Linked DNA regions of Drosophila melanogaster. The protein of the gene in region 1 interacts with the protein of each later gene in a pairwise test. Each region holds a gene or a part of one and is shown in the gene's direction. Other genes may lie near its edges.

Region 1 (6,604 bases):
ACTGTCATTTGAATGCGCCGCTCCGCGGCAGCGTTAACCGGCACACGACGCCAACGCCGACCCCGACTGCGACGCCAACGCCGGTAGCGACGCCAAAACAAGCCTCCCCCTCGCCTACCTCCGATCGTTCGCGCTCCCTCTCACGCTCGCCTTCGCCGTCTCGGTCTCGCTCGCTCTCCTGCCAAAAACAAATCGACAAGAACAGCGCTGGCGCAGCATCCGCAGAAGAGAGAAAAACCGCTAATGCGAGTTCGCAGCCATTTACCGTTAACCTGAGAATCGATCTCTTCAGTTGGACACTCTTTCTCTTGGCCTTCGGCACGCGTTTTTACAAGCTGGCAACGCCGCCGCACATCGTGTGAGTAGAAAAACAATAACAAACCTGCAAATGGGGTCACCGCTGAATGAAAAAAATACACACATAACAATGTCTTAGATTTTTTGTTTATTAATTTAATCTGCGAGAGCAGAGTCTTACATTTAAGTTCATTGCATTACATTTAAGTCTTGCATTTATAGCTCAAATGATTTATGCCTATGTCTTTATAATATTTTCAAGATTCATAGTAAAATACTTCCTACCCAACAGATTCGATGAACTCCACTACGGCAAGTACATTTCCATGTACATGCGAAACATTTTCTTCTTCGATCAACATCCACCGCTGGGCAAACAGCTGATCGCCGGACTGGTCAGCCTGGCTGGTTACGATGGCAATTACACCTTTACCCGCATTGGAGAGCCCTATTCCCCGGAAATGCCCATCTTCTGGTTCCGATTTCTACCAGCCATGTGCGGCAGTCTACTGGCCCCCGCCGTTTACAATCTTTTGCTGGAGGCGAAGCTCAGTCGCTGGTCATCCGCTTTGGGTGGCCTGCTTGTGGTCCTGGACAACTCATTGCTGACGCAATCCCGTTTTGTTCTGATGGAATCAATGCTTCTGCTGGCCACCACGGTGGGCATCGCCTGTTTGCTACGCTTCCAACGAAGTCGCCTGGGCAGCCTGGAATGGTTCTTTACTGGAACGGCAGCTGCCGTCTGTTTGGGAGCCGCCGGAACCGTCAAGTACGTCGGATTCTTGGCACTGGGGCTAGCCTTTTATTTGCTGTGTCGACACCTGTGGCAACTGCTCTACGACGCCGGTCTCACCGGTAAGATACCTTTTTTTCTGAGATTTACAAATACGATTTACGATATAATAATAGAGATTGAATAAATCAAAATAAAACCATTTTTTTCAAGATCGCCAGCTATGGATGCATGCCATAAGTCGCCTGTTAATCTTTGTTGGAATTCCATTGGCGGTCTACTTGGGAGTCTTCTATATCCACTTCAAGACGCTGCACCGGGCTGGACCGCATGATAGCATCATGACTAGCGCGTTTCAGGCCTCGTTAGATGGAGGATTGGCATCGATCACAAAAGGACAGCCATTGGCAGTGGTTCATGGATCCCAAATCACACTACGACACACCCACGGACGCACCTGTTGGCTGCACTCGCATGCAGCTGTCTATCCGGTGCGGTATCCGGACAAGAGAGGCTCCTCCCACCAGCAGCAGGTCACCTGCTACTCCTTCAAGGATGTGAACAACTGGTGGCTGGTTAAGCGACCAACAAAGGAGAACCTGGTGGTGGGTGATGAGCCGGATATCATTCGGCACGGTGAAATTATTCAGTTGGTCCATGGAATTACGAGCCGAGCTCTGAACTCACACGATGTGGCTGCGGCAATGACGCCGCAGTGCCAAGAAGTCAGCTGCTACATAGATTACGAGATCAAAATGGCCGGTGAACTGTTGTGGCGCGTGGAGATTCTGAATCGCGATTCCGAAGGTGACATTTGGCATGCCATCAAGTCGGAGGTCCGCCTCGTTCACGTGTCCACAGAAGCCTCCTTGAAGTTCAGTGGGCGCCAACTTCCCGAATGGGGTTTCAATCAGCACGAGGTGGTGGCGGATCGTGAAAAGGCAATACATGAGGATGCCATTTGGAATGTTGAGGAGCACCGCTATACACAGAGTAAGTCCTCTTCGAGATACTTGAAGAAATACGTTATCCTCATTTACAACCCTTTATAGCTGAGGATCATCGGGAGCGAGAGCGCCAGATGCTAACTGCCGAGATGATACCCACAAAGCGGACGCGCATCTCGTTCTGGGCCAAGCTACTGGAGCTACAATCCAAGATGCTGTTCCAAACGAAGTCAGTGCCAAATCACATGTACAGCTCGATGCCGCACGAGTGGCCGCTAATGGACAAGGGCATCGCTTATTGGTTGGACTCACAGTCGAGTGCGCAGATCTATTTGCTGGGAAACATACTACTCTGGTACACAGCCACCATGGGAATACTTGTCTATGCCGGATTACTCGCCTTCTACGCGATGCGGCGGCAACGTCTTTGCTTTGATATTTCGGAGCAAGAGTGGCAGCGATTCGTATTAGCTGGTGACACCTTTTTTATGGGCTACGTGATGCACTATATTCCGTATTTTTGTGTGGATCGTACACTCTTCCTGCACAATTACTTGCCAGCCTTTGTGTTTAAGTTACTTTTATTGTGCTTTGTCGTGGAGCATTTGGACTATCTGCTCAGGCGCTTCTGCACCGGACGTGGTGTCCATCTGGTGCGCCTTTATCGCCTCATGCTAATCCTGTGGCTGGTGGGCGTGCTTAGCATTTTCTCAAAGTTTATACCATTCAGTTATGGTGCGAGAAAAATGACTTTAAATGAGGTTCGCAGTCTTCGATGGAAGGATACCTGGGACTTTGTCCTGCACAAGAACCACCACCTGTACTGAAAAAACAGATGCCATCTCCGCGGCCAGAGAGAGACGTGCAATGATGTACTAGTACCATGTACAATAGACTAGACGACTAGCTAAAGTTGAACTAATACTAAGCCATAAATTATTTGACATGTAAACATACTCATTTACAAGACCAATAAATACAATTATTTATTTATTTAAGATGTTCTGCTTTATCACTCAGTAATATGTATAAGCACTCTGAAAACACTTGAACCCACACTATATACATAAATACACTCATAAACATGGCCAATAAGGGACACTTTATAGACAGAAATGCAAATATACCGACTGCAGGATTGTCCACCAGTGGATTAGATGGAGCGGAAGGTGTAAAAGTTTGTCTTAGTATTAGCAATCCAGAAGAATTGGCTGAGAGTCTAGTTAGGCGCAATTACGGGCAGATCAATAAAAAATCCCAGAAGTTCCCAGCCGGTTCCGTTCAACCCAGCAGCAGCATCCGGGATTTGCTCACCAGCGAGTTGCAAAAGTCGCGCTTTATGTCCTTCAAGGAGAAGTTCTACGAGGAAATGTACTTCAAAAAGGCCACTTTGGGTGGGGTCAAGAAAACGTACTCCAAACCGGAAGACGTGACCAATATAAGCCAAACCTTCGGAAGTCCATCGAGTCAATCACAAAATGAATGTCTCTACGACGTCATATTGCCGGCCAAGTCGGCGGAGCAAGTTAATAAGGAGTACGAGGCTTTCCACGACAAGTACATCATCAGCCACAATCACTACTTTCCTTCGGAGCAGGTTAACCGCAGGTCAAGCTATTGGTCACTACAAATGCAATGGTGCATATTTAATGAACGTCTTAAATATTTTTTAGATATGCCCAACCATTTGATCGAAAATCACCTTGTGGAGATATACATACTCACGGCGATTTTGGACTGAAAGTGAAGCGATGTCTGGAGGAAGGTGAGAACCACCTGAAGGTTATTGGCAAGGCGCAAGTGGACTTTATGGATCGAAACGAGGCACCCCTCGGAATGCGAAACAAAAAGTAAGTATAGATAGATATAGATTTTGATTAATAGTTTTAGACTGTCTGTAGGTACACTTTTGCGGTGCCCGACATAACTTTCGGTGTTCCTCTGCGCAGCAATGGCGATGTGAAGATGCTGCTAAATAATATTGAACCCTGCTACAAAACCAACCGGCTACTAGATGCCATACGCTATTTGAACAAAAAACGTCATAGTTTGAGGAACCAGCTGGAATTTCACAAGTACGCACTAAATTCAGTGCTGGAGAGGAGTGACACGGATGGAACGGGTCACTTGCCACTGGCACGCATCTTGGAAATTTTCAGAAGTTTTCACATCCGTCTGGATGCGCAAAAAATCCGTCTGGCCTTGTCCAATTTTCGGCTGATTGTGGACGAGGGCTGTGCCACGGAGCGGGTGAATTATGTAGATTTCTTTCGACTTCTCTCGATTCAGAATTCTCTGCCGAAAACGGGAAACTTGACCAATGTATCCGATGTTAGTTGTCTGGACACCACATATCGTTTGCTCTGCGCCGATCTTCAAAACAAGTCAAAGGATAATACGGGAGCAATTAGCCAGAATCTCGAAGGGAATAAAACAACTGCCAAGGATCTTATAACACCGGATTTGGCCATTTTACGTGGCCTTACTCACAGTGATTTCACCTGTTTGCGGCCCAAAGCGGAAATCGAACGTATCTTTAGAAGTCTCGTAACAACTGATAAATTCGAAGCTATTTGGCAGAGTCTAATGACTAAGTTCAAGGACCAAAATGAAATGGCATCCGTCACGCAGTTTCGTACTGAAATGCACAACAAAATAGAGGCCATATCTACATAATACTTAGACAATTTACCATGACAAACAAATATATAATAAACAAAAATAAACTATAGCATAAGTTTGGGCTGTCATTTGTGTGAAGCAAATATTTGCTACAGCATTAAACTTTCAAAGCTGGTGTCTTACGACCAAATATTTAAATTTCTGTGATCAGTTAGGAAATCAAATTAATACTAGTTTTCTAAATCCGGAAATTACTGGAGAACTATAAATGGGGTGACTTCAACATCAGTTGATCACAACAGCCCTTCGCCGCTTTTAAGCCAAGTCTAATATCAATTGCTTTGCCAGCTAACCAACATAACCAACAATAACATCAAAGATGAAATACCTGTTCGTGGTTGCCCTTATTGCCCTGGCCATCCAGGTGGCTTCATCTTCTAGTAATACAACAACAACTGATGCCACCACCACAACAACAACCACCACTGCAGCATCGACCACAACAACAACAACGGCCGCTTCCACTCACAAAAAGCTTTGTTGGAGGGGCAACAACTGGTGCCACACCCGCATTCCCAAGCGGAAGTGCAAGAACCCAAAGAGGTGCCACAAGACCATCGTGATTGTGACCCACAGGAAAAATTAAGCTGCACTAGTAGTTTTTGAAATAAAGAAATTCTTTTTAAAAGAATTTTGCCTAATATTTTCATTTTATCTATAAAATTATTTTAAGTAGTATTTGTACCCTTAACTCATAACGCATAGTAAATGGGTATGCAATGTGTGTTTAAAAGTAGGTAACACTTAAAAAGTTTTCGATCCTATTGTATTGTACACATATGCCTTATCAGAATATATAGCCGATTTAGTCTATCGGTCGCCAATTTTCTAAAGAAATAGTTTCATCGCCTTTAAATTGCAAAAAATTGCCTTTACATATATTTTCGGAATAAAAACATTCTACTTCATTTTCCACTAGACACTTGTGCAAGCTAAACTCTGAGTAATAGGTATCTGATAGTCGAGGAATTGGACTTCAGCTGTTTCTCTTATTTTATTATGAATTTAAAGAATAATAAATAAAAAGAATAATAAATAATCGTTTTAAATAGAAGCAACATCACAGAAGTTTCTATTTTTCCAGGCAATACTCAATTCTTAAAAGTCCATTAAATTATTTATTATCTAAACTGAATTTGAAACATTTTAATGCATCTGAATTACCACTTCTACTCACTTCATTTTTAGGTTACTTTAATGTGTAAAACAGCTGTTTTACTATAATTGGAACTTTAATAGATAAATAAATATTATACCAACTTAAGAGACTTCCTATCTTAATAAGGAAATCATTTTAAACTGACTACTAACCATATGTGCTTACAAGGTGCAAACAAGAAGAAAACTATTAAAAAATTAAAGTATAAAAGATTATGATTCCACATTGGTTAATCACAAAAGTTTCTACCTTCATTTGAGAAGCACCATAAAATTCCAGGATCATTTAAGATGAAGTTCCTCTACGTGTTCCTCGTTATCGCCTTGGCCATTCAATTGGCAGCTTCAGCTACGAATTCAACACATGCCCACAAGACTAAAGTTATTGTGACCCGAAGGAAAACAGCAAATTGAGCTGGACATGTTTACACCATCAAAATAAACATTTCAAAAAAATACATTCCTCCTTGTTTTAAAATTTTGGTCTAATTTTGGTTGGCTAATGTGAAATGGTATTTCACGATTTTGGAGCAGATGAATTTTATTTTAGTTCCTTCTATTTGGTTCATCATAATAAAAAAAAACATTTTCTAAAACGGCTGCTGTCAATATAAACTATATTCAATGTTTTTAACATATGACCAACGGTGCGAACACCTTAAGTTTAAAAGAAGTTCGTTTGACTTTAATACTTACATGTTATAACAACTATAAAGTAGGAAATAATATACGATTTTTATGAGACAGCTATTGGATTTTATACATAAAGAATATTTTGTATAGCACT
Region 2 (6,922 bases), on another chromosome or scaffold:
GGCAATAAAGGTAACGCAGATGCAGATACATATGTATCTCGAGCTCTTTCACTTGGGTCTACAAGTCGGTGCGTAGATAGTTCCTGCTGCTTTCGTTCACGATGTGAGTGCGGGGCATCATGTTGCAGCAGCTCATCTTCGGTTCCTGCGAAAGATTGTACACCTTGAGGGCCACTGTTTCCTTCGACTGGTCTGTTTGGACGGTGGAGTCCCTCAGCTTCAGCAGGTTCTTGAAGAACATCAGGTCCAGGGCGAACAGAGCGGCGCAGATGAAGCAAAGTGCTCCCAATGCATAGGCAAATATCAGCAGATCTTCGGACAGCTGCTCCACCGTGAAGAATATCAGTAGTCCTGGAGGAGAGAGTTCATCACTCTGACATTACTGCATCCCAGGAGCCATATTACCCTCTATGGTGAAGAACAGAACGCCACAGGTCAACAGAATTATCTCACAGGTGCCATAGTTTGAGGTGCCCTCGATGATCCTAAGAGGAGATGGTCTTAGCATATCATATATATATATGTCATAGTCACTGGGTGGTTAGTTACCTCGTGAGCAGCAGCACAGCTGCAATGAAGGTATAGCCCACGAAGGTCAGCGTGCCGAAGTCATCGCCCTCCTTCGACCAGGAGATGCTGTTGAGGAGGGTCCACTCCCTGGACTGCTTCTTGTTGATGGCGAACACCCGTTCCGAGTGCTTGTCCGACAATCGCTTTACAATCAGGGCCGCCACCGTGGCAATCTAATGGGGATGTATCTCTATCATTCAAGGTAACTCAAAGTCTCCTTCTAACTCGAAGATACTCGCCAGTTGGAGAACTTTGGTGCAGATGCAAGCTGGTAGCCCCATGTTAGACGATCTTGACGTGCACTTTGCTACTGCGGCACGTACGTTCCGAATCCGCCTGACCCATGCAAATTTTCTCACATTCAATTTCGCAGTTTAGCGTGGGAAAAGACGAACTCAAAGAAGTTGGCCTCATGGCCCATAGTCCATAATAGCCCAAAACCTTGAACTGCTCAACGAATCGAGCACATCTGAGCATCTGTGGGCAATTGCTGTGCCGCCTATGCTTCCTATCGGCAGTGTAAATATTAATATAATAAATATATATGTTTATATGCCCCATAAACAAAAGGCGAGACAAAAGCAGAGGCTTTATGCTCTTTCTTATCAGCGCGATTACAAAAAACAAGCACAGCGATTCATACGGATTGCGAATGCAAGATACTCTCATTAGACTTGCATAATTTTACTACTTAAAGGCCTCAGCGAACCTCTCAATGAAGTCCAAGTACCCAACTTTTGCAGGGCTATCAGGCGGGGAAGCCAAAGAGCTCATCACGGTGCGATCCTCAGTTTCGTGGAGGCAATCGGCGTGTAGAAAGCAATCCCGGCCTATCTCACTTAGGATCGCAGCTAGCAATTAAAATTAATATAAGCTGTAACCAATACTGTAATATGATGAGCGTTTGCATAATTGGGGCCGGAACCGCGGGTCTTTGCTGTGCCCGCCATTCGATTGCAAATGGGTTCGAGACCACTGTGTTCGAGCTATCTGACCGAATCGGCGGCACCTGGGTTTACAATGAGGCAACAGGGGCGGTCAATGGCATCGATGTCCACAGCAGCATGTACAAGAACCTACGGTACGTAAATCTTTCGAAAAACCATTTGATATTCTAAGAGTTTCCGGGCCTCTTCAAAGAACCAACCTGCCCAAGGAGGTAATGGGCTTCCCGGACTTCGAAATCGGGGCAAACGAGGCTTCCTATGTGAGATCCGACGAGATCTGCGACTTCCTTAACCAATACGCGAACCATTTCGACCTGAAGAAGCACATCAAGTTCGATAGCTATGTGATTCGAGTTTTGCAGAGGAAAACAAAGTGGCAAGTAAGTCGTGGAGTCAGCTTTATATATAACCACTTAACTGAAACGTTTGCAGGTACTTTTCAAAGACTTGGTCACCAACAAGATAGAGTTCCAGTACTTCGACAAGGTCTTGGTGGCCAATGGCCACTACCACACTCCGAATTATAGCCAAATTCCGAATATGGAAAGGTTTAAAGGGCAGTTCCTGCACAGCCACGACTTCAGAAGTAGGGAGGTTTTCGAAGGTAATTAAGGAATAACTTCTATTAGGTTATTTCACATGGTGTTCCATTCTGCTCAAGGTAAATCCGTTCTGGTCATTGGAGCTGGTCCCAGTGGCATGGACCTGTCGAACATCATTTCCCGAACGGCGGATCGGGTCACCATAAGTCACCACTTGACCGATATCGGGCAACACTCATTCTTCGAGAACGTACAGCAGAAACCCGATGTGCGGGAGCTCGATGAGAAGGGAGCCTTTTTCGTGGACGGATCGTACCAGGAGTTCGACACCGTCTTCTTTTGCACAGGTTACAAGTACGCCTTTCCCTTCCTGACCGTCGACTCGGGCATCTATGTGGAGGACAACTACGTCCAGGAGCTGTACAAGCAGTGCATCAACATCAGGAACCCATCCATGGCTCTGATCGGACTGCCGTTTTACGTTTGTGCCGCCCAAATGATGGACATCCAAGCGAGGTTCATCATGAGCTACTACAACGGATCCAACGAGTTGCCGTCCACGGAGGATATGCTCAAGGACACCCGCGATAGGATGGGCAAACTGTGGGCGGAGGGACTAAGAAAACGCCATGCCCACATGCTGGGTCCCAAGCAAGTGCGATGCAAGTTGGCTTTACTTCTCTATCTGGTTATTAATTCTATTCTCATTTATTATCAAGATCGACTATTTCACGGACTTGTCGCAAACTGCAGGAGTTAAGAACATCAAGCCTGTGATGACCAAATTGCACAACGAAAGCAGCAAGTGCTTCAATGAGAATTTGCTCCACTTCCGGGAGGACAATTTCGCGATTCTGGACGACGAGACATTCATTAAACTCAACTAGATCCTGAATCAATCAATAGGAGCATTAGATTCCAAAACATCGTTTTTGGACTTCCCTTCGAAATAAAATAAATTTCCAATTCTTGTATTCCAAAACAACAGTTTAAAAAATGAGCTTTTATTCTCGAACAAAAACTTTTTGAACACCGGCAAACATTTGTTTGAACATGTTTGTTGGTATTTTTCCAAACAGCTGATTGCGGGCAGCGCACATTCACCAGCTCTGGCCACACTCGCCCGCCTCCTCGCAATCACCTTCTTGCATAATTTTCGGAACACCTCACTTCGCTTTCAAAGTTCGCTGATTTAGGTCGGGTCTTCAAAAGTGGAATAGCGCCTCGTCATGCAGTGTCCGTTCTTGAACCGCTTCACCGCCAGCTTCATCCGCAACTACGCGGAGACGCTGTGCCAATCCTACGGGAGCCACTGTCCCGTGGTTGGGAAGACCTTGGTATCCGGCGAGAAGAAACTTTCACTCGTCGCCGCAAGTGTTACAAGGTCTCACTCGACGGGGGCGAACGCCCACGCCAATGCTGGTGGCCCCGCAACTGCCAACGCCACCGCTCCCGTCTCCGCCCCCGCCTCTGCCGATCCTGGCAAGGCATCCGCCAAGGAGACCTTTCCCTACGAGCGCTTCTTCAACGAGCAGATCATGAAGAAGAAGCGGGACCATTCCTACAGGGTCTTCAAGAAGGTGAACCGCCTGGCAGGCGACGGGCTTTTCCCCCACGCCCTGGAGTACTCGGAGCGGACGGAAAAGCCCATTACGGTGTGGTGCTCCAATGACTACCTGGGAATGTCCGCCCACCCCGGCGTCAAGAGGGCCGTCCAGGACGCGCTCAATAGGCACGGATCGGGGGCTGGCGGCACCAGGAACATTTCGGGTAACTCTCTTCACCACGAGCGCCTCGAGAGTAAGCTGGCTGAGCTCCACCAGAAGGAGGCTGCGCTGCTGTTCACGTCGTGCTTCGTGGCCAACGATTCCACTCTCTTTACGCTCGCCAAGCTCTTACCTGGGTGCGAGATCTTCTCGGACGCAGGGAACCACGCTTCCATGATTATGGGCATACGGAACAGCGGGGTTCCCAAGCACATCTTCCGGCACAACGACGTGGACCACTTGCATCAGCTGCTGAAGCAGACGGACAAAAGCGTGCCCAAGATCGTCGCATTCGAGACGGTACATTCCATGACGGGGGCCATCTGCCCGCTCGAGGAGCTGCTTGACGTGGCCCACGAGCACGGGGCCATCACGTTCATCGACGAGGTGCACGCCGTGGGATTGTACGGTGACCACGGGGCCGGGGTCGGTGAGCGGGATGGTGTGCTGCACAAAATGGACATCATATCGGGCACCCTGGGCAAGGCGTTCGGTAATATTGGTGGCTACATAGCTGGCACCCATAACCTGGTCGACATGATTCGGTCGTATGCGGCCGGTTTCATCTTCACCACCTCACTACCGCCGACTGTACTGTGTGGCGCCCTGGAGGCCGTCAATATCCTGGCATCGGAGGAGGGTCGCCAGCTGCGCCACTTGCACCAACGGAACGTCTCCTACCTGAAGAGCCTGCTGAAGCGAGAAGGTAAGACGTAATTCTGGCATTTATGTAACTCGAATTGAAGGTTATTCTCGCACTTTCGTTTTATTTTAAGTGATGGCTATAAATATAGAAAGAGACACTTAACTTTCAGTTTACTGACTGCATATATAATTGGCCCCATTTCAGGTTTCCCCGTCGAAGAAACGCCCAGCCACATCATTCCCATTAAGATCGGAGACCCTCTGAAGAGCAGTCAAATCTCAAACGTGCTGATCGAACAATTCGGACACTACCTGCAGTCGATTAACTACCCAACCGTCGCCCGGGGCCAGGAGAAATTGCGGCTGGCCCCCACCCCGTTCCACACTTTTGAAATGATGAACGCCCTGGTTACCGATCTAAAGAAAGTGTGGGAAATGGTGGACCTCTCTACAAACGTCCCTCTTTCGCCCAACGCATGCATGTTCTGCAACTCGGAGAGCTGCTGGCACCAGGACACCTCCCCGGATCTGGAGTGTGGCATTCCCAACTGCCCTCGCCTGGAGATCTCGCTTGCAGCATAGTTGCCTCTTGGAAACACGACTATAAATGAAGCATTCGAATCATAAAGCTATGCCTAAATTATCTGTGCGGTTTTGGACAAATAAACAATGGTTTTGGTGCAATATACATAAATGACGAAATTTCAATTGGAATGGGCTAAGCTGATTGATGACGCTTCTATATGGGGTGATAAGACATGGACTAGAGTGTCACCTTCGCTATGAAGTTGCGTGTTTTTCGAGCCAGCTCCATGCAAATGATATTCAAATTGGGGAATCGCGTGGAAATATTTTCATTGAACCTTGATCCACACTCGTAAGCACTTAAAGGGCTTACCTAGTTTGAAATATTTATATGAAATTAGTCGCATATCAATTTCAGCAGTGGCAGGCTGAATCAGCACAATTATTGCTGATAACCATGACCATCCTATTACGGACCAATGTTTTTGATAATACCACAATAGATAATGATCCGATTTTATACACTTTGATTAGAGAAGATTTTGTACACATTTAGTAAGATCTATTGGGTCAGAGACTAGCCGAACAGCTGGAGATCGTAAACAATGATTCTACCAAATAGATCGGTGCTGGACTCGAAGACGAACTTTAGCTTTGAGCAGGGGTTTTCCCGGACTGATTCCGCAATCTGAAAAAGCTGTGGGGAGTTGATATCTTCTGGGTAGAATGGCTCTTGGTGAACTTGGGCTCCGTCAGCGGAGTACATGATCAGTTCGGATTTTTGGCCAGAGAATCCGCCTTGGAACTGGAAACTAAATCCAGCTACTTTCTGTGGCTCCTCCAAGCTAATGGTAATGAATTGGGGGGTTCCCTGAAATGGCCGTTTGGAGTTATATTCTTTTTTTCCAAATCTTAGGATGATACCTCATCTGAATTCCAAGAAGTTTCTTCCCGCGTATCAAACATGAATTGCTTTCCGTGCTGCTTCACATCTCTGTTTAAAACCGAGCTCACCCTGCAAACTATACGTTAACTAAAGGGAGTTACAAAATAAAACCCAGAGTACCTGCAGCTGTATTTTACTTTTGTCAAAATATTCATAATTCAATAAAAATAAGAAATAAACAAATCGGAGACCGCGAGGTTAAAGGCATTAGAGATGGGCAACAATCAGAAATCCATAGAATTTTTTTTTGTACGGATTTTTAACACCCGATTTAAGAAATTGCTTTAAAAAATATATTTTCCCTAACTTTCTAAAATATGCATGATTCTTATTAGATTTTTGAAATAAATACGTCAGATAAAGATATATCGATATTATAGATGCTATACCAAGTATTGATTTTGCAGCCCTCGTCGAAAAAGCAAAACAGCTGGCAGTTTAAACATTTTCATTTTTTTTGTTGACTTATCTTAGAAGTTGAGATGATAAAAGCCATTCTCGTTTTTAACAATCACGGGAAGCCGCGGCTATCGAAGTTCTATCAGTATTTCGTAAGTACTGCGACATATAATCCATATAATCTAGTTCATAATAAATTGTCACTATCATTTGTAGGATGAAAGCCTGCAGCAACAAATAATCAAAGAGACTTTCCAATTGGTGTCCAAGCGGGACGATAATGTTTGCAACTTTCTGGAGGGCGGAAGGTGAGCAATATTGTTCCCGCAAATTCCTGGAATATCTTAAAGCACCTCTTTCCTCCAACAGTTTGATTGGCGGATCGGATTACAAACTCATCTACAGACACTATGCCACGCTGTACTTCGTTTTCTGCGTGGACTCCTCGGAGAGCGAACTGGGAATCCTGGACCTGATTCAGGTGTTCGTGGAAACCCTCGACAAGTGCTTCGAAAACGTGTGTGAGCTGGACCTGATATTCCACGCCGATGCCGTCCACCACATCCTCTCAGGTTGGGAAAG
Region 3 (10,312 bases), on another chromosome or scaffold:
AAACCGGACAACCGCCGCATGCTCTTCTTGTTTCCGCCTTTCCGCATCAAGCTTTATTTCATGAACGGCCACTGATACAAAAATCAGAGACACAAAGTGCAATGCGCCGCTGCGAGCGGTGTAATAGTTTGTAATTGGCATTGTTTTCCTTGTATTAGCTGAAATAGTATAGTTCTTATTGTAAACGAAGCGCTGGCTGCAATTGTAACATAGTGCACTCGGTGCAGAGACCGGATTTGAAGAAAATAGTCGAACGTAGTCCCAGATCACATGGCCATCCCGAGCATGCCACGCCCCCGATCCCAATTTTCTAAATTTCTAAGTGCGAATAAGGAACCCTTACCGAAGCCCTGAGACTTACAACGTGTACATGATGAGAGTAACTAATATTTATTGCAATCAAACCAAACAAATAAAACTGTATTATAATCGACACAAAAAATTGTTAAAAAATCATAGCTCTCTTTGAAATTTCATCGGAACTTAACAGATGCACCACGCAGCCGCATCTTCTTTTTTTTTTAGATTTCATGTTTTTCCAGCAGCGGAAGATTGCAGGTTGTGGTGCGATTCTGTGGATCCTGGAGACCATTGACTTCGTTGACAAGATTTTGAGCCTGCGCAAGTTGTTTGCTCCGATGGGTGCGATATAACCAGGTCGCCGAAACAAGTAAGGCGACCAGCAATATGGCTGCGCACACAGCTACTACTACTACGACTACCATTGGGTAATCTCGGACTGCTTCCAGCTTTTTCTGATTCAGCTCCAGTTTGCCCACGATCGCCAGGAGTTGATTAAATGATTCCAAGGTCACGGATTCCTGGGAAGATTTTGGTTCCTTCTGCAGCGTTGCGTAACCTGCTTTCGAAGGAACTCTTTCCCGGACTTCTCCACGGAGGGCGACAGCTGGACTGCGCACGGCACAGTCGCTTTGAATGCTCAGGATTCCACTGCCATTCAATTGGAGCTCCTGCCTCTCACCGGAGCACACTCCTATTAAAGTTAGCTCATTGGTAAGGGCCACCATCCAGGAGTTTGGTGCCACCATCTCTGTCCACAGACTCTTCTCCTTCACTTGACGCAAGGTGCAGACTTCGGAAGACTGGTTCCGTATGGCCGCCAGGGAGCAGGCAAAACTGTCATCCCCAGTCCCGTAGATAATGCGGTTGCGCCTGCAGATGAACCTTTCTTCGCCCAACTTGATGCAGTCGTCCAAGCTCTGAAGCGGAAAATACCTGTCCATATGATCGTTGATGCCCAGATAAGGTGTTTCGGTGTCCACCAGTTGGATTACGCCATTGTTTAACCGTGGAATGGGCGTCAATCGGTAGATATTAAACTTCTCCGCATCGAGCAAGGGCACTGTGATTTGGAACTCCACGTGGTTGCCCCGCTGCCGAGGAACTACGGAGGCGAGAAGGTAAATATTCCGGATTGTATATCGGCCATCCAGATCTCCCAGAATTGGCGGCATCTTCGCTTGCAGCTGTTTCATTGAAAGGACAAGAGGACTAAGCTTTCCGTGGTGGGCAGAGATTATGGCTTCAGTTATGGCATTCTGGGCACTTTTTAGTCTGCTGCCCATAAGGTATAGATACGGCTTCATCATAATCAGGTTTTCAGGTTCATAAGCCTCGTGAAAGGGTTCTTGAAGTATCACATTTATAACATTAATGGAGCTGTCAATGCAGGATGTTCCCATCCCAAGCTCGATGGACACGTCGTCATCTCCCAAAGAAAGTCGTCCGGCCCTAAAGTCCAACGCTTTCTCCAAGTCAATTAGTCCATCGTGAAGAATACTATCCGCAAACTTGGTAATGTCCAGAATTTCTGGACAAAGATTCCTTTGGATATCGCACACATCGACCAAAGCCTTGTAGACACCATTGAACGCACGTATTGCCGTATAAAGCGACTCCAAGTTGAAGCTGGCACATAACTTCCAATCTCTGGAGGCTAGCGATGCCTGACCGCTGTACTCCACGAAGGTGCCCAGACTGTTGTTGAATCCCCGCATCGCCATCGGACCTCCGATCGCCTCCCGATCAACTGGGCTTCCATGGGAGAGCGCTATCAGCGAGGGGGCGAGGATGAATACCAAACTAATCGCTTTCATCTTTCGCTTGTAGAGGTGATCGTTGCCCAGAGTTCCGCGCTAAACTGAAGGTGAGCTCCTGAGAATCGGGTAGCAAGCGGTAGTGCATGTCCATATGTATGTTCAATTGCTGATATAGCAAAATGATCGGATCATTGTGCGCAATATAAATTTTTAAATATTTGCAAGTGAGGCAATTAGCCAGAATTAGCTTTCAAATAAATATAATATAAATATATAATATACAAATATAACATAAGCCATCCATATTTATTATACATTTTACACTAGTCAAGTGCATTGAGTACTAATATAGTGAATTTACATAACAACCAGTGTCATAGCGGCATAACCAGCACCACAGAGGCCCACCGATGCGACCTGGCAGTAACGCAGCTCTTTGCAGATCCGGCGCCGGCGCAGTAGAGGATTGGCTCGCTGCCTCGCCAGGCAAGTACGTAAGCAGGCTCCTCCGAGCTCCGCGGTCTTTATCAATGAGAGTGACGTAGGTTGTGTGCAGACCGGACGGGATTCGGTCGGCGAGTGGAGGAGTTGGGTGGCACTTTAATGTGGTCTGCAAGCCAACGGCCAACGGCACGGAATCGGGGCAATACGTTAAAAACTGTTGCACTGCGTCGCTGGGACGTCAGTTCATTCAGAACAGTCGAAGTGCGCAGACCACTGGGATCCAAACACCGGCAGAAACCAGGCCAGGAGTCGAAGTCGACCTCCCACCTCCAGCCAGATCCGAATCCTATTTGGGACACCACCAGCTAGAGCCAAGTCAAGTGCCGTTTGCCGTAAACATGCCACGCATCTCGTTGCCCGGCAGCAGCCTGCTGGTAGTCCTGGCACTGATCCTGTGCCTCAGCCTTCCAATCCGGGCGGTGCCCACCTCCGTGCTCGCCCAAGACACGGAGCTCTCCACCAGCGCCAACCACAAGCTCCAGCAGCAGCAGCAACAGCAGCAGCAGCATCACCAGCAGCAGCAGCTCCAGCAGCAGCAGCAGCAGCAACAGCCGGCCACAGGTAAGTGCCAAAGTTCAGTACAGGTGGAGCAGCAGCTCCGCCCACGCCCACTCTTAAGGCTAAAGGTCACTGGGAAAATGCGAGTTTTTGAAAAATGCCCGGCCCGAGAAGGCTGTGCCTCCAGCCTCCAGCTCGTCGTCTGCGTGGGTTGGCTGGCTGCTGGCTTTTGAGGGTCGGGCATCCGCTCGAGTGGCTCCATCTCGGAGCTCATCTCGTTTAGCATATTCCATTTCCCATTTACCGCTCGTCGTTCGCTGTTTCTGCCAGGAAATTGCGTAGGTGTTTTGCGCGAGGACGACAGCTGTCGTCCTTTTGAATGCCGCGCTCCATGAGCGATTTATAAATTTCCATCCTGCGGTTGTTTTTCTTGCACTGGCTTAGTGAATCATTACTGTGCCTGCACAGCGAGAAAACTACCAATGACTTTTCTGAGTAAGTGGGTAGCTATATGCACTCTTGAAAGAAAACTATCAAATAAAATAAGTTTTAAGTCTTTAAATTAAAGTTTCAACAAAAAAATGATTATATAAATTATATTAAATTATATACATATATATATAATAATCAAATTTCTGCCAAAATATTCACGAAACATATATACATATATCAAGCTGCGGCTTAAAGCACAATGTTGCCTTTTCTTTCAACAACTCTAAAGAAACATATGGTATTCTGTATATACAGCTCCACGATTTCTCCCAGTGCAGTTACACTGTTCATATATGTAGCTCAGCGCTCACCAACACAAGCACACGGGAACCTACAGCGCAGTTAAACATCGCGTAGGCGTTCGCCACACAAAATGGCGGCCAGCCTCCTTTGTGAGTGTGTGTGAGTACGTGTGTGCGTGTATGTGAGTGGGGGGGCCTCCATGCTGTTAAAGTGTGCGTACGTGCGCGCGATTTCATTTCTATTTTTAGAAAGCGAGTTAGGCGAAAGTTTTCAGCCCCTTTTGCGCCCCTTCCGCTCCTCCTGCACTTTCTGCTCGCCTGGCGCCGTTCGCCTAGCATCGCCTTACGCCATCGCCATCGCCATTCACCACATCTTGGGTGGCAAGTGCCACCCATTGCCGCCCCCACTTTCACCGCAGCATTGAGCCCTTAAGTAGGCAGCCAAGCTCAAGCTGTTAAGCCTTTCCGATCCATTCCGAGTATAAATACGCGTCCGTGTGTGCAACACGTTCGTTAGCGCTCCAAACCGCAGCAGCAACTAAGGCCAAAAGTAGCGGGGCTTTGGTCAGATGTCAGTTGCCAAAAGCCAGCGGCAACCACATCAAAATGTAAAGGGCAGGTGCCCAGAAAAGGGGAAGGAAGCATGTGATTGGGGTGGACAAGTTCAAATTTAAATTTTAACATTTCGCTGCATACTTTCAAATCTTTCAATGTTCTAATGTAAGTTTATAGATACAAAATTTGCCTTTGGGTAAGAAACAAATCTCTAGGGATTAGATGTTTTCGAGAGCGATAAGCTCTCCATCGCACATTTTTGTAGCATACTTCCAGGCAGCGCCACTAACAGATTTTTGCCCCAGCACAGTTCGCTCTAAATAGATTTATTATGCCCCAATGTGGGCGGAATGGCGCCCCCGCCCCTTTCTACGTGTTTACAGAGCCACATATGGCAACCTAATGACAAAGGCAAACAGGCTGTCGCCGCCAAGTGTCCAGCTGTCGGTAGTGCAAAGTGAAAACAGGGTCCACCCCACGGATTAATCCACGCAGCAGCAGTCAAGTGGGCGCATTAAATATTTATGAGAGCAGTGCCTGCTGACCCCTCGCCTTTTCCTTCCTTCGCCTGGCGATGAAGTAGTCAGGAGGGAAGGGTGAGCACTCCAGTTGGCACACCCAATCCCGAAACCACAGGCTCCCAGCGCATTTTCCTGCGCTTGACAAATTTTTCCATATGCTGCGGCTATTAAGTTATTTCTGTGCGGGGCCGAAAGAAACGCCCAAGGACTTGGCCGTGGCGTTAATTGTGTTCATGTTCGTGTCCACATTCCCATGTTCATGTCGCGCTGTCTGTGGTGGCCCGACTTTTCGAACAGCTGCTGGCCAAGAGCCACCCACCAGCCCCCAATCTCTGCGCATGTGTGTGTGTGTGTGTGTGTGTGGGGAGCAAACAACTTGTTGATACTTTTGCAGTTCAGTGAACAGCCTGGTAGAGTAGAGACCCAGGACGACGTCAGCCAACGTCAGAGCCTGCCAGCTTTCTACTCATTTATTTATTCAAGTACCCCACCCGAGGAGCACCCATCCGGGCTGATGGACATCCGTGAGCAGGACATTTGCCACACATAAATATAATTGAGGCGGTGGCGTGGGCGTCATGGAGGCGAAACATGAGCATTGTGGGCATTAAATGACTGCCAATACGGGGAAGCGTTTAGCCAGCGGGTTTCAGGAATTGTCGTCTGTCCCAAGGACTCTGGGGAATCGCAAACTGGGTTACGGGCGCTCCATAAAAGCGTATCCACATTCAGAGAATGTGGAATTTTACAGCTCGACTAGAGTTGCACCAGGGGACATACTGTTTCTCGGAAGGAACTTGTGTTTCCACGCAACATGTTAGTCATCACTTTGAAAGTAATCATATCAAAATAGCTTTAAGGTATCAAAATAATTCGTTTTTAGTTACGATAGTGGTGTCTAAAACTAAATAGTCACCTGCAAAGTAAGTTAAGTACACACTTCGAAACATTCATTTCCCATTCGATGCGAACCGCTAGTCATTTTATGGGAGCCCATTTCCTGATAGCCGGATATTATACCACCTGGCCCTTTCAATTGGCACACCCTAATAACACATTAATCATTGGGGTCGTATAAATCATGGCTATGCGGGTATCTACTCCATTCCACTCTATATGCGATATCTCAGTTCCAATAATCATGGAGATAAGCTATAGATACTGGTATAGATATTCGCAGAAACCTGCGAAATACCTCATACAAATCCACTGCGCAGGGGAGTTGAACGAGTTTGGCTGGTCCATCTGAACTCGGGATTGGATGGATGGGGCAGTTGAAATAACCGCATGCCCATGAGGAGGACTCATGTCAGGTGCTAACTGAATCCTAATTGGCGGCGGCCAGCGCTCAATTAAAGATATCAACCGATCCGAGATATTAAAGCCAATTCAGCCGTCCAATTAGCGAACCAACTGTTGCGCAAAGACCCTTTTTTTTCGATTGGATGCCAGTGGGGCGGCAATGCGATTAGGATTAATAAGGTCAGTCCTCCTCCTCTGGGTATTACATCGGGGATTAAGTGGACATAAAGCCGGCTGTCAGGGCGCTAAAAGCAATTAGCCCAGACCGAGAAATATGCTCGGGCGTATAAAACAATTATGGTACTCGTTCTGCGGACGGCGGCTAATTGGTTTTGCGGTCACTTCTCGGCTGTGGGGATGTTGGGAATTTATTGAATCAGCCCCGGGTAAATGGTAAATGGAAAGTGGGAAATGGCAAGTTGGAAATGGAAAATTCGAGTAGCCCGGACAGCAGCAGCCGGCGTTACCCATTCCCCATCTCGTTCACCAGCCAAACGCTCCGAGGAGGCGAGTGCCGTGCCCACGGCGGACAAGAAGTCGAGTCCGGAAATTGTGCCCGCTTCCTTTAGCAACGCTCCGTCGGCCCGAAACAGCCCAGTTCCGGTCTCCAGCCAGCAGCAGGAGCAGCAGCAGGTGCCGTCCGGAGTCTACGCCCTGCCCTCCAACGAGGAGATCCTGGCCGCCGTAGCGGCCGCCGCCCAGAACAGCCAACAGCAGTTGCAGGAGGAGCCCTCCGCCCTGGAGGAGGCGGTGGCCAGCTCCACGATGCGCAAGCGGGGCATCAATTACGAGTACAATCCGTACTCCGTCGCCTCCAGCGACTACGGCAGCGATGTGCCCAGTGGCGTTTGGTCCGACGACTACGAGGCCGCCGTTCCTGTCAGCTATGGCGAGCGGGATCTCCAGGAGATCGATGACTACGTGCCAGAGCGAAGAGGTGCGTCCAAGAGCGTGGCACATCCATTGCTAACTAACAAAAAACTTAAATTCCAGTGAGTAGCTCGAGTGCGCGAAACAAGGCCTACGACAATTTGCAGAATCTCCTGAACGCCGAGGCCTATCTGGAGAGCATTCCCCTCTCGGTGCCGCTGACCTATGCCAATCGGAACTACAACGTGGATGAGCGCAACAAGCGGGGTATCTACTACAACGTGGGCACTCCCGGCGGCAATGGGGCGAGCAGCCTGGGCAGTGGAAGTGGCTACAACGACGAGGGTATCAACCTCAACAAATATCGACGATTCAACGACATGCGGTGAGTTAGTAAAGCAACACGGCGTATGAGTGATATTTTACATACATAACAACTATTACTAAGGGGTAACCTTTTGTATTCTTTGCTCCAATCCCAGACTTAAACGCGACACCCAGCTCAATCCCGCCGACATGCTGGCCCTGGTTGCCCTGGTGGAGGCCGGAGAACGGGCGCGCAAGGAGAGCGATGCTGAGAGCTCCGGACCGGTGCCCATGATACCCTCCGATGACCTGGACTACGCGCCCGCCGGCAGCTGGTTCGACGTGCCCGTACAGGCGGACTACTACGGCGCCGGAGTGCCGCTGGACAACCAGAACCAGGCGATGCCCAAGTACGAGTACGTGCCGCGTCAGCACAAGTACAGCGGAGTCAATAGCCGTAAGTCCCGATTGGGTTGGCAGCAAGAGTCGGAGGTTCGTGTTCTATAACTTTCAATTATCCAGCAGGATTCGGCTCCTCGAAGCAGCGCTACATGGTGGCCAAGAAGAAGCGCTCGGTGAACCAGAGCCAATTCATGAACGAACCGGTGGCGGAGCGCGGATCCGGCTACAATGGCGAGAAGTACTTCTAAGGATCCCACGCGGAGATAGTCTACGTAGTACTTAATGATAGCCACAGGCCCCACGAAGAGTATTTCTCGTTTTTTTGAGCATTGAACATATTGAACATAATCCAAGAAACCAAAATCCAAATTCAATTTCTAATTCAATTATGATAAAGAGCTAGTGTCAAGGTCAACTCGTGTGCAATTTTTGTGTAGAATTTCACTTTCAAAAAACCCAATGGCGAGAATTAAACTATTGTTGCATGCAATGTGGTGCGTCAGGAGCATAATCAATCAGTGTCTAGGATTTTGTCCCACGGAATCCGCACCGAACTAAACCGAATCTATATCTACGCCACCTAATCCCTGTAAGAAATCGGTGTCTATGTACAACTACTGCAATCTGAAATCCAGCGGAACCGCAACTTGTATCTGTATCTACTTATCGAACTAGAGGCTTCCCGACTAGTACAAAACGAGAGAAGAACGTCAACTATGAATATGATTATATATAAAAATATGAATACATCTATACATGCATATATCAATCCTAATCGAGCTCAGAAGCGACAAAAGCTCCACTAACCGCTTTAATTTAATCTAAACTTATACTAACTAAAGCTAAAGCCAAAGCCAAGTATTTTGAATGCCATCACATTCCGAACTACACTTTTTATGTAACCCCGCCGACTTGGGGACAAACGATCTGACAATTGATGAGAATTTTAATCGTATTTAGCGAGTATCGCAGCTAATATGTTGGTAAATTATATATATATATATATAAATATACGTATACAATATGCAAACAATTTGTGGATAAATTTGTTAAGAAATGGCTCAGGGCATAAATATTTTAAATATTCTATGCCGACGACGAAGAGGCGTATTTTTAATTTGAATAAAATTGTCTGACTGTTTTCGGTAATAATCAAATATACATACATATGTGTACTATGAATATGGTAAAATAAATTATATTATACAGACTAAAATAAAATAGCGTATATATATATGTGTGTGTGTATACAATACAGATTATATATAACTATATATATGAACACTCAAGTAACCTTAATATTATATACTTTCCCTCTGAATATTTGGCCTTTGATTTACGCCTTAAGTTCTTTGCGTGAACTTAGTTTGAAGATACATTTATTTACAATCAACTGATTTACGATTAATAAATACGTCTTTGGTTTGAAAACCAATCAAAATTGGATGAACTGGGAGTTTTTTGACCTGAAAACCAATTGGCTGTGCTCAATGGCAGAAAATTCAATGAAAGTGGGTTGTTTTTTCCCACCCATATCGAATCTTAGAAATGTGTCAATTCAAAGCTTACATCAAGTTACAATTAGGGGAATTTGTATATTCAGCTGCGCAGTAACCGCCGCTCAATGAAAAAGTCATAAAAATCATTTTCCACTTCCACGCTCGGTTGCCAGCCGCCAACGAAAGTTTGAAAGGAAAGTTAACTAATTTGAAATTGGGAGACAATTCAATGAAGACCAATTAACAACAGCTAGACTTCTGGGGCCTCTCGAGCGAAGTGTGTGCCAAAAATTAAATAAAAACCAATTGGCCTTCGCACACGCGTTGACATCCATCGCCATTCGGATGGGTTTCATCATCAATGTTCCATGCGAAGCCACATTAAAGTGCTGCATGTCCGGTGAATGAGTGGAAAACTAGATAACCGTGAAGCAGCGCCATTGTGGCCACTGCAAATGGGGAAGCATGCTCTGCTCCGGACGCCAGATGAGATCCAACTTTGTCCAAACTTAGCTCGAAATGGCCATAAACAATTGAATAGAATGGCCGTAAACAGTAAGCCAAATAAACAAAACATTGGGCTCCAGATACACAAATGCGTTTGACACAAGGGGCTCTGTTTTTTTTTTTTATATTATTATTCTAATGACTACGGCATGCACATCATAGCAGTTATCAATGTGCTGCAATCTAACCTGCATTGAATGCAAGTTGCATGGACACTTTATACTAAATTCAGACTAAGTTACAAAGTGTTATGCCTTTTGTATGCCAAATTGTTGCCATATGGCGGGGAATCTAAATAAGCATTAATATGTATGGAGTGTGTGCAGGAGCATTGGAGCCTGAAGATTCTGGCAGGGATTCGAGGTGGCCATTTGCATATCTCATCAGCAAATGACCAGGAAGATAAACAAGCTGGGCAACGAGGCCAGGAGCAGTCTTTAATGAATACGTTTAAAGTTAATTTATTATGAATATGAATATAACTAATGTTAACTGCTCACGGGAATGGCAAGCATTTGTTTTAGAGATTCCCCCACGGGCAGCACGATTTCGCA
Region 4 (6,704 bases), on another chromosome or scaffold:
GAATATCTGCTGACCTGCATAATGATTTTGTTCCTTAACAAATCTATCATCGGGCTACCAATAAGCTAAATGTATTTGATAGATTTGTTTAAGTGTTTTCCTAGTCTTCGTAGACAAATTATTTTCTGAATTTTCAATTTATTCATGGTTCCTTTTATGGAATTAATAGATAGATATTTTTTATTCATTGAATAGACGAAACATCTGTGCAAAAAATTTCCATTTCAACTTCCTAATAAGAATTTTCCTGCTTTGTAAGAAGCTCCAAAACATGAAACTATGAGTAGCAAATAAATTCCTGAAAGGCAAATTGATATTTTCATTTTCAATAAAACATAAACGCGACCTCAGGTCGTGCCCCAAGTGAACCGTCTGTTTGTTTGTATGGAAATTATATGAAAATTGCACTTGAAACTTTGTCTTGAGCTGTCTGCCACTTGCAGTTGAAAGTTTTTCCGTATTGCTGCCGTCCTGCATCTTTTTTCCGGAAATTATTGATAGTCCCGTCTAAAGTTACGAAGAAATTTCAATATTAAATGGATTCAAAGTTAAAGTGTATAAATAAAATAAAATCATCTGCACAAATCCAGCAGTCAAGTGCCTTCGAACTAGCCACGGGGGCCAAAGGGTCAAGGGGATAAAGTTTCGTTCATGTGGTTGCCCAGTGGAATACAAGAAACCCTATATGACCACTATATATGCACGGTACATGGCGATTCAAGCACTTTGCCATTGTGTACATTCCTCACTTGTCCGACATTCCAGGTCAACAAATAGCGAAAGGCTTGCCTTCGCTTGAAAAGGGTTCCCTAAATCAGTAGATATCAAAGGATGTTACAGGTGAAATAATATCTCGACACTACTTCTAACCTAACGTAGGTAGTATGTAGCTTGATTTAAAATCTAAATAAAACCCTACCCTCTCCTTTTTTTTAAGCATTTACATTCGAGACACATAAATGTTAAATACCAATGAAAAGCCCCGCGAAAAGTTCGTTGAACCAGACATGGCAAGTTTCTCTCCGAAGATGGTTTGATTAATTGACGATGACCTGGCTAAAGACTTAATGCCGAACTTCCGTGCGAGTGGCAGATATACTTATTATATCAATTAAGGTAAGCAACAATGCTTTCTATTGTCCCCCCCAGTCCAGCGATTCTGCTGTCTCATAGGGTCGGACCGCCACTTTCCATCATCCATCCAACTTAATGTGCAATAATGAGTGTCATGTAATGCCAGACGCGTTCGATTCGAATTGCCAACCAACCAACAAACAAACAAAACTGAACTCAACTCAAACAGCAGCTGCATTGGCGGCTAAAGGAAAATAAAAGAGAAAAACCCAATGCAGCATTAGCAACGACAACAAATTAACATTTTTCAAAACTTTAAAGCCCCGACATGCGTTGACACTTTCGGGGAAAATTGCGTACAATTTCAAATGCAGGCACAAAACTTTACGCGTAATTACGACACTGGGGAAAACAGGAGGAAAATATAAATGGCAATAAGGGGGGGGGGGGGGGCACAAAAAAAAAACAAATAAATAAAACAAACCGCTGGCAAATCGCGTTCGCTGCGCCGTTGACAGTTGTAAAATGGAAAGGTTATCCGGACCCTGGTCGGCAAAAACCATGGACAGCCAACAAATGCGTCGAGGAAAGTGCCTTCGGAAGCTGCAGCTGCTACTGGAGCTACTCATGTCCCATTCCCCATGCCCCCCCGCCACGAACTCAATCCCCTCCTGCCACAGAGACTCCGCCAATGAGCTTCTGTCGTGGACAGTGACTGATGGTCTGGGAGAGCTCCGCTCTTTTCTGCCTCCAATGATTACGATGATGATGAAGACGGCGATGACAGGGCAGCATTTAACCAGCGCTCAGCAGTTAGATAACTATATATAAATTATGGAAGCCAGACGATAAAAATCCTCGACAGATCGCTCTAGAACGTCTACCATAGTTTATAATTCTAAATATACGTATGTTGAAAATGTTTGATTGCAATTGTGAACAAATTATAATTGGTTTTATCTTATTTTCCAATATACTCAGTATTCTGTAAATAATTGACTTTTATTTAAATACCTTTTTAGCTCAATAGCTGTTTTAAATTCAGGAGAAATATTATTTCTATTGAGTGCAATGCATTCGAGCTCAGAAACTCAATCGTTTAGCTCGGTTGTGATTTTCCATACAAATTCGTATGCAAATTCAAAGGTATATATAGCCAATAGTCGGGGCAACAACGCGCTCGCAAGGGAAGCACTTGAGCCTTACTTTGATGCACATATCCCCATTAAGTTGGCCCCCGTCGAGCTTGTGGCTCCCAATGCGGCCATGCAGTAGGTGAGAGAGAGAGAGAGATCTCTTGGCCTCTTGGCCCAGAACCCACTCAAATATGCTAATCCACTGGAAGTCCACACAGACCTCCACAGACAGCCCACAGTAGAGTGCATGTTTCTGAGCTTCAGGAAAAGTAGTTGCATAAAGCTACAATGCCTTTCCAGAATCTCACAGAGGAAGTAATTTGAAATTACGGAAGGACAGGCTTTCAATTACGGTAAGCTAACTTACCGATATAAAGGGAACATTCTGTAATCGTGGGCAATTGACAGATTCTGTCAATGACAGAAAATCAAGAAAAGTGGCTTTATATTCGCAGCTTAAAAATATTAGCCAGCTCTTATCTGTTTCACTTAATTCTTCATAACATACTTGTAATTTGAATTAACCTGAATATTATTTTCTAAACTTATTTATCCAGCTGAAAACTGTCGTTTTTTAATATCTGAAAATTTTCTAGCAGTCTTCAGTTAGTCAGTAGATTTCGTTAGGTTACTAGCACAAAAAAAAAACATTTTGAGTGAACTAATACCACTCAAAACGCCTTGACATATCACATATTTCATTCCCAGTTAAATTTTCCTAAGTAATTTCTTTAAAAGGAAGTGGTTTGTTTTCTTGAACCACGATGGAAAATCTCCAACCGGAGTCGGATCGCGTTGGCCATATTGTCTGGGATGAACCGGGAGCCTCGATTTTTGCCACCGCCTCCCAGGAGCCCGTACCGAATCTTCTGACCGAGTTCAAACCAATGCCGAAGGGCGAGGACGACTGTGTTTCTGATAAGGATGTGTGCCGCATTCTTACACAGTCGTCTGTCGCGGAGAGCTCATTGTTCCGAATGGTCAAACACCAGGTGGACGAAGTGGCCGCCATGCTCAACAGTCACCTGCATCCGCGCCAACGGAAGGAGCAAACCGATGTGGATGTCACCCTCGGTGTAGCAAGGGAACTGGCTCGCCAGCAGGTGGAGGCCAGTAGATGCCTTCAACTTCATCGCAATGTGGAAAATTTGAGGGATCTCGAGATGGAAGTGGCCCGTGCCCACACAGCGTTGGCTGTCAAGAACAAGATCACCAACAATATCAAACAAACGGTGGAAGATAAGCAGCGGGAGCGGGCCGAAGCTTTGGCGGAACAGCGAGCCGTGGAAAAGGAGCTGAAGGAGGAGAAGCAAAGAAGGGCTCAGAAGGCAGCCGTGTTTCGTAGAGATCTAATGGCCCAGATTACCGAGGGGCGTACCAAGCGGATACAAGATCATCGAATAGCTGTGGCCGAGGGTCGTCAAGAGCTAAAGGAATGCAAGGAGATAGTGGAGCAGGGAATCCTAAAGGATGCAGTTACAAAGGCGCAGCAGCGCAAGGTGCTCCTCGAATCCCTAGACCAATCGGCAGCCATGTTGAAGCAAACCCGCGAGGCCTACGCTCTGGCCCAAAAGAATAAGCCCGAGAGAGGACTCCTTGATGCCCTGGGACCCGTTACGGCGGCCTATGTGTCAAAGGCACGGAAACGACGCCTTGATGAGATCGAGGCCAGGGACATTAATGCCGCTCGGCTGGGCTTCCAGCTCAGCCAGATCAAGCACGATCTGGAGTCCCGAGATCAAGTCATCACCAGTCTGCTAATCCGCGAGCACAAGGCCAAGGAGAACGCGAAGGCCTTGGAACAGGCTAGAACCAAAATGGCCAAGAAGCAGGAGATTCGCGAACAGCTCCTCAGCCAGCGGGAAGAGCAGAAGTTCTTCCGAGATAAGGGTGTGCAGGATGCCCTGGTCATGCCCAAGGATCCCATGTGCTTCGGCGAACGACAGTATCGAATGCAAGTGGCCCAGCGGGAGAACACCCGGCGCTTGGATGTCCAATGCTACCAGGACATGGCCCACATGGTCGTGGAGGCCAAGAATAACAGGAAAGCCGCTGCCCAGGAGGTGGTTGACATTGTACAGGAGGTCTACAACCAACAGAATCGCCAGGATGAGCTTGTGGCTATTGAGCGGATGAAGCTGCTCTCCAAGCAGCCACCTGAAGTTCTTTCAGCGCTCAAGAAATCCATTCTCACCGAAGAGGAGATCAAGTCTTTAAACCTTAAGAAGTAGTTAATGAGTTTTCATTTAATACGCGCTAGATGCCCGTATTAAGGCTTGTAGAAACAAAAAATACAAAAAAGTACTTTTTGTTTTTTTCTTCGGGTTATTATTAAACCTACGCCCCCCTGGATGTTGGCTATTATTTATCAAGTATACTACCTCATGTGAAGCAGCCCACTGGCACAGGATGTGCTTAATTTTCCATTTTGCTGCTCTGCACTTTTAAATAGACTTTGCTGGCGCTGCCGGGATGGCAAATGAAATTCACTTTCTTATCCATTCTTTGGCCAAGCTTTTGCAGCAGGTCAGGTTTCCAGGTTTCGTACTCGAGCAACCGGTTTACCGACATTGCAGCTGGAAATTTGTTTACAATAATACGGTTCGAACGCACGCAGATGGGAGCGTAAGTGCACTTTGAAACCGGGCTTACATACATTTCCTTTACTTTCCATTTCTGGACTCATTAGCCGGCTGCCGGAGGAGACAGGTTTATATTTCATAACTGGCTGGCGAAGAAGGCTCAAGAATGTTGGCAAAGTCAGTTTTTTGGCAACCATTTTGGAGCACTCTCTTGACGACCTGCGGAAACTTTCCCTGGCAATAACTTTGGCTCCAAGTTTCAGCTTCAATGTGCAGAAAAAAAGATATATTTATGCTTTCAGTACACTGTAAACTATCGAAAGAAACTCTTTTTGGGTGCTGCGAGCTCAACTAGTTCTATAAACTGTAGTCATACTATTAAAATGAAACATGCTAGTTGTACTAACCAGGAAATTAGGGAAATTCTTGTTAGATCAATGCTTGGTTTCTTTCAGTGCAGACTTATAGAAGCGACCAGCACAATCACAACCCAGTTTCTGTTTCAACTTAAGTCTGCTGAATGGTGTGAGGTTGTTTTGTCTTTTCGACTCTGGTCTGGTCATAGAGGAGCAGCTTGGTTGGCAAACTTTTTATGCCGAAACTTTTTTTTTGGGCCAGATCTTCAAGTTGGCCAAAAAGATGTGAAGTTGTGTGCACAGGCGTGTCTGCAGCTCTTCCACCTGGAAGAGCGTTACTGGCTCTAATAGGAGTTGAGTCGTCGTGTGGCTGCAAATGTGTTTGCATTGCTATGAAATTGGAAACGAGATCTGCAAAAGTTGAGTAATTGAGCTGATTCTGCTTCGTTGGTCACTCGAATCGAAGAACCTTTCCTCCAACGTATTCATGCCACAACAATCATCTGGGGGCCCCATTTTCAAGCCAACCCAGAAAGGGGGAACATTGAGAGAAAATGGGTTGGTAAATAAAGCCTAGGCCAATAAACATTTTATACATTAAATTAAATTATTAATTTTAAGCTACACCTCATCATTCTGGGTTATCCTAATATGCTGCCTTGACATGAGAGTTGCACTGATCTTCCCTTAATTATTGTGACTAAAATTGTAATATAGAATATGCATTTATTTATTATTTATGACTTTTTCCTCTCTGCAGAGGCAGACCAAAAAAGGGAACAATGAAAGACAGGCTCTGAGACATTGAATGCGAGTCGGAGAACAAAGCAATAAAAGGCCCGAGAAGTGGGTTGTTGTTAGCTGTTTGCTTGCCATGCTGGGAATGGAAAATGGAAATGCTAAGGAAAATGAAGGAAATGCAATGTCGTTAACATGGCTCGTAGGTTTGGCTTGCTAGCTCGGTTGGCTGGCGGGTGGAAATAAGTCAGGTTGGCAGCCAGTATACGCATATGCTTGACACGGAAAATGCAGTGGCATTGCATACTAATGTGCCCAATGCCGAAAGACAAACGGGGGAAATAGATGCTCATAAAAATTACTTTTGGTGGTTATAAAATGCCATCAGCCACTTCCATTTAAAAGCGGACTCTTGATCTAAAAGCCCACGCAAAATGCAGCCCACAGATATCGGTCGAAGTGGCTGAAGTAGCATATATCTCACGATTATCACGTGGGCGCCGAGTGAAAATTGCGTGCAATTATCCAAAGATGATATCAGCATTGGCTGCCGTAAATATATGCGATCCATTATTATGGCCCTTGGGGCAGCGATTTGTTTGTGTGCTTTCTTAACGCTGCGATTCGAACTGGTTTCAAGCCAATCGACTGCTATAAATAAACAATTATTTTTAATGCAAAGCCAGCGAATGCGACCGCAGCAGACACTATCCATGGTATGTCGCCATAGAGAATAATAATGGTAAGTAAATAAATAAAATTATTGTGGTCATTTAGCAGACGCACTGGAATAGTGAAAATAAAGTTACACGTAGTGT

The links.
Region 2: the proteins of CG32086 (region 1) and Alas interact in a two-hybrid assay, tested with the Drosophila melanogaster proteins (one large-scale study listed by BioGRID).
Region 3: the proteins of CG32086 (region 1) and CG4577 interact in a two-hybrid assay, tested with the Drosophila melanogaster proteins (one large-scale study listed by BioGRID).
Region 4: the proteins of CG32086 (region 1) and CG3610 interact in a two-hybrid assay, tested with the Drosophila melanogaster proteins (one large-scale study listed by BioGRID).

The regions. Positions count from the first base shown.
Region 1 is NT_037436.4:11,580,491-11,587,094, reverse strand, and holds CG32086 (uncharacterized protein), read left to right. Parts: upstream 1-3,030; 5' UTR 3,031-3,061; coding exon 3,062-3,585; intron 3,586-3,650; coding exon 3,651-3,827; intron 3,828-3,878; coding exon 3,879-4,653; 3' UTR 4,654-4,694; downstream 4,695-6,604. Other genes in the region: rt (rotated abdomen), read left to right, coding at 1-358, 590-1,152, 1,244-2,023, 2,083-2,804; CG33269 (uncharacterized protein), read left to right, coding at 4,979-5,245; CG43391 (uncharacterized protein), read left to right, coding at 6,109-6,231.
Region 2 is NT_033778.4:23,961,597-23,968,518, forward strand, and holds Alas (aminolevulinate synthase), read left to right. Parts: upstream 1-3,175; 5' UTR 3,176-3,288; coding exon 3,289-4,531; intron 4,532-4,675; coding exon 4,676-5,052; 3' UTR 5,053-5,161; downstream 5,162-6,922. Other genes in the region: CG13566 (uncharacterized protein), read right to left, coding at 59-351, 406-485, 550-743, 810-851; Fmo-1 (Flavin-containing monooxygenase 1), read left to right, coding at 1,464-1,651, 1,711-1,897, 1,950-2,121, 2,179-2,714, 2,779-2,946; CG34213 (uncharacterized protein), read right to left, coding at 5,573-5,866, 5,920-6,010, 6,062-6,096; or (orange), read left to right, coding at 6,424-6,492, 6,557-6,648, 6,710-6,912.
Region 3 is NT_033779.5:1,131,957-1,142,268, forward strand, and holds CG4577 (uncharacterized protein), read left to right. Parts: upstream 1-2,736; 5' UTR 2,737-2,902; coding exon 2,903-3,125; intron 3,126-6,664; coding exon 6,665-7,111; intron 7,112-7,167; coding exon 7,168-7,429; intron 7,430-7,526; coding exon 7,527-7,807; intron 7,808-7,872; coding exon 7,873-8,000; 3' UTR 8,001-9,200; downstream 9,201-10,312. Other genes in the region: iris, read right to left, coding at 522-2,117.
Region 4 is NT_033777.3:14,842,233-14,848,936, forward strand, and holds CG3610 (uncharacterized protein), read left to right. Parts: upstream 1-2,810; 5' UTR 2,811-2,974; coding exon 2,975-4,441; 3' UTR 4,442-4,505; downstream 4,506-6,704.